Saccharomyces cerevisiae S288C: one gene and its partners. The gene in region 1 interacts genetically with each later gene. Each region holds a gene or a part of one and is shown in the gene's direction. Other genes may lie near its edges.

Region 1 (6,313 bases):
CTTGTGAAAAATGAATGGAAACCACTGATTTAACAACGTTGGAGATGGTATTTTGCCATCTTAGATAATTTTCTGAATCTGTGAGTACAGTGTTATTATTATTAGCAAAGTGCAACGGCTCTATAATGATTTCATGGTCTGTATATTCTTCCTCTTGATCTCCGGTGGCGCTTTCCAACTGTTTCCTTTTTACAAGCGATGATTCACCAGAAGTTCCATCGGAAATTTTAGAATGGTCTCTTTTCTTTATATTGCTCAACGATATGGTCATTAGTAGATCTAAAAAACCTTTACTGTACTCTACGTGTGTATTCAGAGTATAAATATCTTCTAAATAAACTTCCGTATTTAAACCCTCGTAGAACTTTTTTATTTACATATAAATTTTTTGAAAGTTTCATATCATCGCCTTGAGGAAAAAAAAAGAAAAAAAGAAAAATTATCATGTCACACGCTGAGATGGCGTCTAATAATGGTAGTGACAGTAAAATAATATTCAATTAAGAAACTTGTTAAATTTTTCTTGCCTCTTTCTAGTTTATCTATGATACATAGCATTTATTATTAAATATTTCAATCGTGACTCTAGGTTCTTGGATCTTGCTGATGCTGATGCTGATACTGGTGTTGCTGTTGCTGTTGCTGCAAAAGTATTTGATGTAATTCCATTACTTGTTGGAAATTACCATTTCCCTGAGGAGGTGCTTGAGGTGGCGGTTGGATGTACATTGGGTTTTGCATTTGATTCATGGGAGGTACGCCATATGGAAGTGGCGGTTGACTTTGGGTCATTGGCATGAACGACTGCTGTGTTGGCGGCGACATATTGTTGTATGCGGGAGGTAAGCTACCATATGGAACAGTGTTGGAGAATTGGGCCGGTGTCGCCTGCCCAAATGGTGGAGGTGGATACTGGAAGTTAGTCGGCTGAGGGAAAGGTGAGTATGGTGGATAAGGCATACCGTTTGGTTGTTGAGGGAAGGGATAATTATTTGCAGAAAACTGTTGTTGGTGGTGCTGTGTGATTGGCACTGGGGAGGAGCCATTCCGATTAGAGGTAGCACTGGATTCACGCTTGATATTTTCACGTGCGTTTCTTGATTTGTACCCATGTTGCATCGGAGCATTACTGCTCATGCCCAACGGCGGTACCAGTTTAGGTAAACTGTTGGCCTTGGGCTGCCGAGCTCTCTTTACCTTGACATTGTCACTATCGTTGGCTAGTTTGCGGTTGTCCCTTTTCTTTCGTTGCCGTTGCTGTTTCTTCATTTTCTTGAAAAGGGCCTCTTTTTCGTCGTCGGAAAATTCTTGTTCCTCTTCAGGTAATTCTTCATCGTACCCATTAGACGCATCAGTACCTTTGTTGCGCTTTAACTCGAAAGTATCTATCCAGTGGGCATCAGGGGTGACTATAAAGGCTTTCTCACCCAAACGCACTTTTAATTCATCGAATAAGTTTTTTTTTGAATCGGGCAACTTAATTCTATAAAATGGGTTTTGCAAGGGTCCAAACACCTCCGTCAACATCCCGATCAAAGTTCTATCCTCGAGACAGAAAATGGAACCCTCTTTTAAAACACGCTTTTCGCCCGACATCGTGGCGTGAATGATTATATTATTTTCAAATGCAGACTTCAAAACACCAATAGGAGTGATGATCGTTTTTTCTGAAATTTCATAATCTTCCGGTAGTTCAGGAACAGTTTCCTCTAGTATTTCGTTCTTCGATAGTATAGGACCGGAAGGTGAAGGGTCTTCGTCTTCGTCTTCATTTTCAATCGCGTCACCACCTTCGTCCTCTCCTTCAACGTCCTGATCTGCAGAATCATCCTCACTACCTGAAGAGCCAGAATCAGAATCAGAATCAGAACCGGAATCTGATTCGGATTCAGAAGAGCCGGATCCTAGGCCTGTTGATCTTTCTGCGTCTGCTACCGGTTCATCGGTCTTCCTCTCGTTCCCACCATCACCTAAAAGACCTAAATCAACATCATCCTTGGGCAATTCCACGTTCAAGTCCTGGTCGGGATTCTCCAAAGCCTTAGAAAACAAGTCATCGCTCATGATTAGCACTGTTTCGACGTGCTATATTGTGCTTCTTCCACTTTCATACCGCTTCATCCTACCTATCATCCTACCATCTTTTTCCTTTACCTTTAAGCTCATCGCCTGAAAAATTTCATGGCCGCAAAAAGAAACGCGCAGACCGTTACCCGAGTGGTAGTGCCTGACTCATTTATGTGCCAACTAAGCATTGCTCGAGAACAAACTAGTGAAAATGTAAACCAGGGAATTTATCATTTGGTCAAAGACCCTGACGAACTAAAACTGTCAAAGGCTGATAACGCAGTAAGAACAGACGGAGGCCTTATACCGCATCTTTGCAGACCACAGTTTCCTATATCTAGTTACAATAGCGCTTGCCGACGATAACCGAGATAACGTATCTTTGCCGCGGGCTATCTCGGCAATCTGCAAAAAAAAAAAACCCCCGCCGCTATTGAAGAAAAGTCTTCGGGAGAACCTGGATAAATACTTGGCATTCCTTAGATCTTGATGCTTTGTCCACTCATATCGGAGCCAAAACTAGACTGTTTCTTCTATATTCTACCAAAGCTGCTAGACTTAGACAAATTTTCTTTTGTTAGTTAAATGTGCGAGTCAGAATAGTATTTTGCATTTGTCACACCACATATTTAAAAGTTTTATCTTTTTCTTTTGTTTTCTCCACTTTTCTTTACTTTTTCTTTAGGTATAATTACGGGGCTTCTGAAAATAAATCTGAAAAATGTCAACGCACTCAAACGACTACTTTTCTGCTTCTTCCGGAATGGTCTCTGAGACATCGTCCGAGGTTTCTTCGATAAACTCTTCACAGCCTGTATCATTCTCTAAGGCTTCTATTGCTGCTCCGGTTCCATGCTCTGATCTACACAGCACCAAGTCGAACGATGCATCGAGAAAATTGTCTATTAGTAGGACGTTAACTAATCGGCTCAACGACATTAAAAAGGCTGTCGATGACGACAACTTGCAGACGGAAGAAAATTCCGCAGACGTTAATAAAATATTAGAATCTAGATTTGACGTGGCCGATGCCATTAGGCTACAGCACAATGAGTCAGTCCAGTCAAAGTTAAACATCCCAGTCACACACACCACGACTGCAGGCGCCTCGTTGTCGGCACCATCTTCCTCTGCTTTCTCTGCTTCTTCTATTCAAAATGATACTACAGAACATAAAGCTTCCATGGACTCCAAACTCATGAGGAATAGACTATATCCGGCTTCCACGAAACACTCCGGTAAGGATCTTGAGGCCCAAGGAATAACCGAATTCGAGCCTGATGAACCGACTGTAAAAAAAGTATTCACCAACAAGTCTACCGGGCAGCTGGAACTGCCCCCCGACGGTGGTTATGGCTGGGTCGTGACATTCTGTGTGTTCTTGACCATGTTTTCCACGTGGGGCTGCAACGCATCCTTCGGTGTCGACCTTGCCTACTACTTAAACCATGATACTTACCCTGGTGCTTCGAAGTACGATTATGCCTTAATTGCTGGCCTAACTGTCTTTCTCGGTCAACTCTTATCCCCCCTTGTGATGGCACTGATGAGAATAATTGGTCTGCGGACCACCATGCTTTTTGGTGATGCTGTAATGCTTGCCGCATATCTCTTGGCCTCCTTTACTACCAAGTTATGGCAATTGTATGTCACCCAAGGTTTTATGGTCGGTTGTTCAATATCACTGATTTTCGTTCCAGCAACAACCGTCTTACCAGGATGGTTCTTGAAAAAAAGAGCTGTCGCAATGGGTGTCTCATTATTGGGTACCGGTGCTGGTGGTGTCGTTTACGGTTTGGCTACAAACAAAATGCTTTCTGACTTTGGAAATACCCGGTGGTGCCTTCGTATCATAGGCATATCGTGTAGCATAAGTGTTCTAGTTGCTATTGCGCTCTTAAAAGAAAGAAACCCTACACCTGCCATAGGATTGAAATCGCCTCGGGCCATGTTTGAACAGCTCAAAGCAATGTTTTCATTAAAGGTTATAACTAAGCCATTTGTGGTACTTATTGCATTATGGTTCATGTTCGCATTATTTGCCTACAATATGATGGTTTTTACTTTATCTTCATACGCAATCTCGAAAGGATTATCATCGCACGACGCTTCCACATTGACTGCCATTTTGAACGGCTCGCAATCCATCGGAAGACCTCTGATGGGTTTAGCGGGAGATAAGTTTGGTAGGGCAAACGTAACGATCGTATTAACCACTTTGTTAACAATATATATGTTTGCGTTCTGGATCCCCGCTCATACGTTTGTTCAACTCATCTTTTTTTCAATTCTAGTTGGCTCATGCGTTGGTGTCGCCAACGTCATGAATACCGTTCTGATTGCCGATATGGTTAAACCAGAAGAGTTTTTGCCCGCTTGGGCCTTCGTCAACTACTGTGGTGCGCCTTTCTTATTGGTTTGTGAGGTGATTGCCCAGGCATTGACGGTGGAGAAAGATAAGAGCAATCCTTACTTACATGCACAAATTTTTTGCGGTTGCTGCTTTATTGCCGCACTAATTTTAATTTCTATCCTTCGTGAATATTCTATCAGGATGAAATTAACGGAAAGACAAGCTATGACAAACGAGAAGTTAAAAGAATGGAAGGCAAGCGAATACGATACCGATTCTGCCGATGAAGATTGGGGTAAATTAAAAGAAAGAAAGACTAAATATGACCTTCTTTTAGGTCCGGGCATTAAAAAATACTTCCTAAGAATGGTATATCCAATGAAGGTCTAGTTCTTTTCGACGACCTGATTCATGTTATATACGCGATAGTTACGTCGCCTACTCATCATATCATTAGTACATAATATTCAATATCTCCGCTTCACCTAATTAAATTTCTTTATTATCAAAAAGACGTAAAGTTAACGCTGAAAAAGCATTCTTTACAGAAAACGACCTTTTTTTAACCTAATATATTTAGCACTGTAAAGATATTCCATGTATCCATATGTAATACACTTTGTGTTGCGGATCCAGGAAAAACAAAACGAAAAAAGAGTCTCTTTACTTGCAAATAAATCTGTAAATCATTTGCTACCATTACAACTTATACATTAAACCTGCGTGGAGGAAATTTATTATAAATGAAAAACGGGACGGGATCATTTCTTAACGGAGCGATTTGCTCAATAAGAAAAGCTCTTCATCGCCATCGTTCTTTAAATCTGCCCTAAAAATATACAGTCTGTCTTTAAAATTTTTATACTGGCTAACAATTTCCTTTAAATTCGTATTAAATTTTCCCAATAATCCGTTAGATGCTTCGTGATCATTGAGATTCATTTTAATGAAGATTTCGTATCCAATGTCGTTCAAATTACAATAAACTTTGACGAACTCGTAAACCGAATTTAAAAGTAAAACCAATGAAGTTGGGTATGGTTGCCCAGAATAATCACCAACGCTTATTTCACTTGTGTTAGTTGCAAAAAGCTTATGAGAAAGAATATTCGTCAAGAACGTGTTATGTACACTTTCTAATTCATCAATATTCAGCGTCTTTTCGATTGCGTGTTTTTGGGGTTTACTGCTTGAAGACTTTGTTAGTACTTCAGCTTTTGGGGTTAAAATCCCATTTAATTCTATGGTGCCATTATTTAATCTAATTAAGTCGAATTGGTTTTGGCTTTTATTCTCTGTGCGTTGCAGTTTCCGGGTCATTTCTTTAAAATTTTCCTCTATAATGCAGTTCAAATAATAAGATTCCATCTTCGAGTTGAATTGCTGGAATTGAGTTCTAAGTATACTGATTCTAGAAAGTTTATTGATAATATCACGGATGAGCGGGTTGTAACCTCTGATTTTCTTGAATGATCTGATTATATCATTACTCTTCAACATTTCCTTTTGATAGAAATAATTGTTCTTTTTAAATCTCCATAAAAAATTGAAAATTCGTAGATACTCTTTCCTGCCAAAAGGACGATTTACGTTTAATACTAAACTCAAAGGGGGGTAGAGGATGTAATCTAAAGTAAAAACATCCCAACCCACGGATCCATGTCCAAGATCGAGTACCCTCGCATCCAATCCATTAATGACAGAACTATTACGGGGACTATTCATTAAATGTCTTAAGGAAGAAAGCTGCACGGCTTCCTGTAAAACCCTTGTTAACTTATAATTTGGCAATGAATCCGATGGTGTCGCGAGAATATCATTGGCCTTTTCTATAAGAGCATCCATAAAATCAGATTTACCCATGAGAAGAATATTCTTTAACGCAAATACCAC
Region 2 (3,851 bases), on another chromosome or scaffold:
ATTTGGGTAGGTTGAAGTAAAACTTATTCAATTCAATAAATTTTTTGGTGGCCTGGTAATTCAAAATTTTCTGATAGTTATCCATTAGCGGTTTCAGTTTGAAAGTTGTTGTTCTAATAACCTCGTCGACCTTTTTATTTAAGCTTTCCACATTTATTTGATTTTCTTTTGGTGAATCACATTGGTTTTTTTCATTCGTTTTCTCGTCAAATTCTTTGTAAATTTGGTCTAACTTGTTTTTAATCTTAACATACTTGGTGAAATTTTTACCAACCAATTGTTTCAAATGTATAGATTGGTCTTGTATATCACTGTCCAACCTGTCCAGTGAGTTATTTAGATCATTGAAAGAGTCTTGTTTGTGCATATCTCTCAGAAAGGCTTTGACGTTGAATTGTTTACTGTTGACAAGATAGTTCAACCGCATTGAATCATTTGGTAGATGTTGCAATTCTTTAGACATTTCTTGTCCATTCAAGGGATCTCTAATATAACTTAACGACTCATCGTTTAAATATGCTCTCGATTCCTTGTCAATGCTAATTTGATTGCCATATTTGAAGTCTTTTAATATGTCGAATGACGTTTCAACGCCAAGTTCATTGCTTGTAGCCTCTTCATTATTCAATTTTGAGGAATCTTGGGCCCAGGAATGGGTCGGATTAATAGTCTTCAACTGATAAAAACGAAGTAGTTGCTCGTCGCCAATTTGAAACCTATCCATGGTACCAAACTTTTTTTCGCTACTTTATTTCAACAGAAACTTCTTTCCTAGTTTAGCAGCTTTAACGCAGCTTATTTTTGTTACTTTAGTTGAATAGTAGGAGTTGATACTTTTGTTTTTTCAAGTTGAAAACAGAAACGAAAAATTAAAGAAGCTGCAGATTCAGCATTCATGCCTAAGCTAAAAAGAACTGGCAGCGAAGAACAGAGGAAAGAATAACTGAAACTATGGATTTTGAGGAAGATTACGATGCGGAGTTTGATGATAATCAAGAAGGACAATTAGAAACACCTTTTCCATCGGTTGCGGGAGCCGATGATGGGGACAATGATAATGATGACTCTGTCGCAGAAAACATGAAGAAGAAGCAAAAGAGAGAGGCTGTAGTGGATGATGGGAGTGAAAATGCATTTGGTATACCCGAATTTACAAGAAAAGATAAGACTCTGGAGGAGATTCTAGAGATGATGGACAGTACTCCTCCTATCATTCCCGATGCAGTAATAGACTACTATTTAACCAAAAACGGGTTTAACGTAGCAGATGTACGAGTGAAACGACTTTTAGCACTTGCTACTCAGAAATTTGTTAGTGATATAGCTAAGGATGCCTACGAATATTCCAGGATCAGGTCTTCCGTAGCGGTATCTAATGCTAACAACAGTCAGGCGAGAGCTAGGCAGCTATTGCAAGGACAGCAACAGCCTGGCGTGCAGCAGATTTCACAACAACAACATCAACAGAATGAGAAGACTACAGCAAGCAAAGTTGTTCTGACGGTGAACGATCTCAGTAGCGCTGTTGCTGAATACGGGCTCAATATAGGTCGCCCAGACTTTTATCGTTAGTGGCTAACAAATGGAAATGAAATATGTATATAGTGTAGCAGTATGCAACTCTTTTAAATACACGATTCGTTATTAGATTGATTAGAGCACTTATTCACGCAAATTTGACACGCTTTTTGAACATCCGTTTTTCACGATTTTTTACTGAAGGATCATGAAAGATTGCCACATAAGAGAACACCTCCGTTGCACCAACACTTCATCACGATAAAAAAACTATCGAGCTATCGTACTACGGAACAACTACATAAGTCAAAAATGGCCATTGATTACTCTAAGTGGGATAAAATTGAACTATCAGATGATTCTGATGTCGAGGTGCATCCTAATGTGGACAAGAAATCGTTCATTAAATGGAAACAACAGAGTATCCATGAACAGCGATTCAAAAGGAACCAAGATATCAAAAATTTGGAGACACAAGTGGATATGTATTCTCATTTGAACAAACGAGTGGACAGAATTTTGAGTAATTTACCTGAAAGTTCTCTTACTGATTTGCCAGCCGTTACCAAATTCTTGAATGCAAATTTTGATAAGATGGAGAAAAGTAAAGGGGAAAATGTTGATCCTGAGATTGCAACATACAATGAAATGGTTGAAGATCTTTTTGAACAATTAGCAAAAGATTTAGACAAAGAGGGCAAAGACTCGAAGAGCCCATCTCTCATAAGGGATGCTATTTTGAAACATAGGGCTAAGATCGATTCAGTAACTGTAGAGGCTAAGAAGAAATTAGATGAATTATACAAGGAGAAAAATGCACACATTTCATCTGAAGACATTCATACAGGCTTTGATAGTAGCTTTATGAACAAGCAAAAGGGGGGGGCTAAGCCACTGGAAGCAACTCCTTCAGAAGCTCTTTCGAGCGCTGCAGAGTCTAATATTCTTAATAAACTAGCAAAATCATCAGTTCCGCAAACTTTCATCGATTTTAAAGATGATCCTATGAAACTGGCCAAGGAAACTGAAGAATTCGGTAAAATATCCATTAATGAGTACTCAAAATCTCAGAAATTCTTACTGGAGCACTTACCTATTATTTCAGAACAACAAAAGGACGCCTTAATGATGAAGGCCTTTGAGTATCAGTTACATGGTGACGATAAGATGACTTTGCAAGTCATTCATCAATCCGAATTGATGGCCTACATTAAGGAAATCTACGACATGAAGAAAATTCCATATTTAAATCCAATGGAACTATCAAATGTCATTAATATGTTTTTCGAGAAGGTTATCTTCAACAAGGACAAGCCAATGGGTAAAGAGTCTTTTTTGAGATCAGTTCAAGAAAAATTTTTGCACATTCAAAAACGTTCCAAAATTTTACAACAAGAGGAAATGGATGAATCGAATGCTGAAGGAGTAGAGACGATTCAATTGAAATCTCTAGATGATTCTACAGAATTAGAAGTAAACTTGCCAGACTTCAATTCTAAAGATCCAGAAGAGATGAAAAAGGTTAAAGTTTTCAAAACTTTAATACCGGAAAAAATGCAAGAAGCCATAATGACCAAAAATTTGGATAATATTAATAAAGTCTTTGAAGATATACCAATTGAAGAGGCTGAGAAACTTTTGGAAGTGTTTAATGACATTGACATTATTGGAATAAAAGCGATCTTAGAAAACGAGAAAGACTTTCAAAGTTTGAAAGATCAATACGAACAGGACCATGAAGACGCCACTATGGAGAATCTGTCCTTAAACGACCGTGATGGTGGCGGAGATAACCATGAAGAGGTCAAACATACTGCCGACACTGTTGACTAGAAATTTATGTAGCTATTTTACTGGTGCAGCGTGCATCTACTTCCTTTTTTATTGTTATTTTCATTTATACATAATACAAAAAAAAAAAAGAAGAAAATTAATGATCAATAAAGAAAATCGTGAAATTACAGCAGAGGTTTTGTACCTGCTTTCCTACGTTAGTACATAATATCTTATTTTTTATTAGTGCATGTTTTTCTCAGTGTGTGTTTTTGTAATTTGTATATACTACACAAAGAATCGGAAGGGTAAAATGTGAAAAATACTGGGTCTTTTGAAATATATTGAACGGGCTAATATATGAAATGAATATGAAAAGAAGAAAAAAATGTGACAAGAAAAAAGTGGTGACAAAAAAGACAAAATAATTATTCAGAGATGATAAACTTAAAGCAAAACTTGGTAACAAACTTTCATTAAAACAAAATATGTATTCTTTTTTCATTTTCATTTTTTTTTTACTGTTTTTTTGTTATTTCATGGAACTGGTAAAGAATTCT
Region 3 (3,326 bases), on another chromosome or scaffold:
CTATCATTAAAACCTAACGATCCCGAAGCTGAAAAGGAAGTTATTGATACCGTACTAGAATTGATCCAGAATTCGAAAAACCCTGTTATACTATCGGATGCCTGTGCTTCTAGGCACAACGTTAAAAAAGAAACCCAGAAGTTAATTGATTTGACGCAATTCCCAGCTTTTGTGACACCTCTAGGTAAAGGGTCAATAGATGAACAGCATCCCAGATATGGCGGTGTTTATGTGGGAACGCTGTCCAAACAAGACGTGAAACAGGCCGTTGAGTCGGCTGATTTGATCCTTTCGGTCGGTGCTTTGCTCTCTGATTTTAACACAGGTTCGTTTTCCTACTCCTACAAGACTAAAAATGTAGTGGAGTTTCATTCCGATTACGTAAAGGTGAAGAACGCTACGTTCCTCGGTGTACAAATGAAATTTGCACTACAAAACTTACTGAAGGTTATTCCCGATGTTGTTAAGGGCTACAAGAGCGTTCCCGTACCAACCAAAACTCCCGCAAACAAAGGTGTACCTGCTAGCACGCCCTTGAAACAAGAGTGGTTGTGGAACGAATTGTCCAAATTCTTGCAAGAAGGTGATGTTATCATTTCCGAGACCGGCACGTCTGCCTTCGGTATCAATCAAACTATCTTTCCTAAGGACGCCTACGGTATCTCGCAGGTGTTGTGGGGGTCCATCGGTTTTACAACAGGAGCAACTTTAGGTGCTGCCTTTGCCGCTGAGGAGATTGACCCCAACAAGAGAGTCATCTTATTCATAGGTGACGGGTCTTTGCAGTTAACCGTCCAAGAAATCTCCACCATGATCAGATGGGGGTTAAAGCCGTATCTTTTTGTCCTTAACAACGACGGCTACACTATCGAAAAGCTGATTCATGGGCCTCACGCAGAGTACAACGAAATCCAGACCTGGGATCACCTCGCCCTGTTGCCCGCATTTGGTGCGAAAAAGTACGAAAATCACAAGATCGCCACTACGGGTGAGTGGGATGCCTTAACCACTGATTCAGAGTTCCAGAAAAACTCGGTGATCAGACTAATTGAACTGAAACTGCCCGTCTTTGATGCTCCGGAAAGTTTGATCAAACAAGCGCAATTGACTGCCGCTACAAATGCCAAACAATAAGCCATTAGTAGTGTACTCAAACGAATTATTGTTGCAAATAAATAAACTTACACAGTTTGAATACATAAATCAATCAGACAAATAAATACATCGGTTCAAATTATACTAAATCTAAATACTACGTTATCGCCGTGAATTACGCAATTCGCATGTTACGTACTGCGCGTCTCTTGTTGAATATTTACCAATTGGGAAAAAGAACTCGTATTTCATTCCCCTTTTTGGAAAGGGGTGGGGAGAGACTGTTGTTCAGCCACGTCAATTATTATTTTTTCTTTGGCCCTGCGCTTGTCTTATAAAATTCCGCAGCCGCCTCTTATTTTTTTTTTTTTCGATTTTTGGCCCACAGGTCATATTGCAAAAACCGAATGGCCGCGCCCCCCTCACGCACGGGACGGAAGAAGGGCGGCGTCCCCTGTTTTTCTGCTTTGGCTCATCTCTTTGGCTCCGACGGACGAAAGACGGGATTCCCCCTCCCGTGTCTTTTTATAAATAACAAGTGCTCATTCTGCATCCTTCCTTGTTTCCCGTCGTTTGGGTACAATGCGTTGATTATCCCAACCCAAGAAAGAAAATTTGTCTCACATCTGCATCTGCACATTTATTTACCTATACTTTTCCATTGTTAGCAGTATTGCAAAGTGAAGAATATATCAGCATCAAGTATATAGTATGCACAGAACTTACTCTTTAAGAAATTCCAGGGCACCTACCGCCTCTCAATTACAGAACCCACCGCCACCACCATCTACAACCAAAGGTAGATTCTTTGGGAAGGGTGGTCTAGCTTACAGCTTTAGGAGAAGTGCTGCTGGAGCTTTTGGCCCAGAATTATCCAGAAAGTTGTCTCAATTGGTTAAGATTGAAAAGAATGTTTTGAGGTCCATGGAATTGACAGCCAACGAAAGACGTGACGCTGCTAAGCAATTGTCTATTTGGGGGTTGGAAAACGATGACGATGTTTCCGACATCACTGATAAATTAGGTGTCTTGATCTATGAAGTTAGTGAATTAGACGACCAATTTATCGATCGTTATGACCAATACAGATTGACTCTAAAGTCCATCAGAGATATCGAAGGTTCTGTTCAACCATCTAGAGACCGTAAGGACAAGATCACCGACAAAATCGCCTACTTGAAATACAAAGATCCTCAATCACCTAAGATTGAGGTCTTGGAACAAGAATTGGTGCGTGCTGAGGCTGAATCTTTGGTCGCTGAAGCTCAATTATCTAATATCACAAGGTCAAAGTTGAGAGCTGCTTTCAACTACCAATTTGACTCCATCATCGAACATTCAGAGAAAATTGCTTTAATCGCTGGTTACGGTAAGGCTCTCTTGGAACTATTGGACGACTCTCCTGTCACTCCAGGTGAAACCAGGCCTGCTTACGATGGGTATGAAGCCTCTAAACAAATCATTATTGATGCTGAAAGCGCACTGAATGAATGGACACTAGACTCTGCCCAAGTCAAGCCTACTTTAAGTTTCAAGCAGGATTACGAAGACTTCGAACCTGAAGAAGGCGAAGAAGAGGAAGAGGAAGACGGTCAAGGCAGGTGGTCCGAAGACGAACAAGAAGATGGACAAATTGAAGAACCTGAACAAGAAGAAGAAGGTGCTGTTGAAGAACATGAACAAGTCGGACACCAGCAAAGTGAGTCTCTTCCCCAACAAACAACAGCTTAATCAAAATAAATCAACAATCTATTAGAAACAAAAAAAAAAAAACCAGCAGAAAAGAACAAGTTACCATACTAATTAATCTCTTTTAATTAATGCGTGGACAGATAATCATTTCTGTTCCCTCACTCTGAAAAAATTGTTTTATTTTCCTATTTTTTTTTTCATCTATTATTGTATTTTGCCCTCTCCTCACTCCTTACTTTAGTCTATTATCAATATCTCTTCCCCCTCCTAAATATGTACTCTTTTATTTTTTTTAATTGTGAAGGAACAATTCAAGTTAGAACTCTTTTGATAGGAAACATTATTTCCTGTGTAGCCTAATGTTTAATGCCTAATTTTTTTCTAAAATGCAGCAACATACATATGTTGAGTCGTATAGACATCTATATATAACAAGCACAGAACCGTCTAATTGGTATTTTTCAGGACATTTTAAACATCCGTACAACGAGAACCCATACATTACTTTTTTTAATATTCTTTTTGTTTTCACCGCCTTC

Evidence for each region.
Region 2: mutations in ESBP6 (region 1) and CDC37 together harm fitness more than expected from each alone (negative genetic interaction), as found in Saccharomyces cerevisiae (2 studies listed by BioGRID).
Region 3: mutations in ESBP6 (region 1) and PIL1 together harm fitness less than expected from each alone (positive genetic interaction), as found in Saccharomyces cerevisiae (2 studies listed by BioGRID).

The regions. Positions count from the first base shown.
Region 1 is NC_001146.8:388,643-394,955, reverse strand, and holds ESBP6 (Esbp6p), read left to right. Parts: upstream 1-2,788; coding exon 2,789-4,810; downstream 4,811-6,313. Other genes in the region: NMA111 (Nma111p), read right to left, coding at 1-271; NAF1 (RNA-binding snoRNP assembly protein), read right to left, coding at 586-2,064; SPC98 (Spc98p), read right to left, coding at 5,189-6,313.
Region 2 is NC_001136.10:788,498-792,348, forward strand, and holds CDC37 (Hsp90 co-chaperone CDC37), read left to right. Parts: upstream 1-1,830; coding exon 1,831-3,351; downstream 3,352-3,851. Other genes in the region: exocyst subunit SEC5, read right to left, coding at 1-724; TAF10 (Taf10p), read left to right, coding at 952-1,572; STB3 (Stb3p), read right to left, coding at 3,851-3,851. UniProt on the Saccharomyces cerevisiae protein: Co-chaperone that binds to numerous kinases and promotes their interaction with the Hsp90 complex, resulting in stabilization and promotion of their activity.
Region 3 is NC_001139.9:649,098-652,423, reverse strand, and holds PIL1 (lipid-binding protein PIL1), read left to right. Parts: upstream 1-1,806; coding exon 1,807-2,826; downstream 2,827-3,326. Other genes in the region: PDC6 (indolepyruvate decarboxylase 6), read left to right, coding at 1-1,134. UniProt on the Saccharomyces cerevisiae protein: Negative regulator of cell wall integrity (CWI) in unstressed cells, probably by inhibiting protein kinase PKH1/PHK2 activity and regulating their downstream CWI pathways PKC1-MAP kinase pathway and protein kinase YPK1 pathway.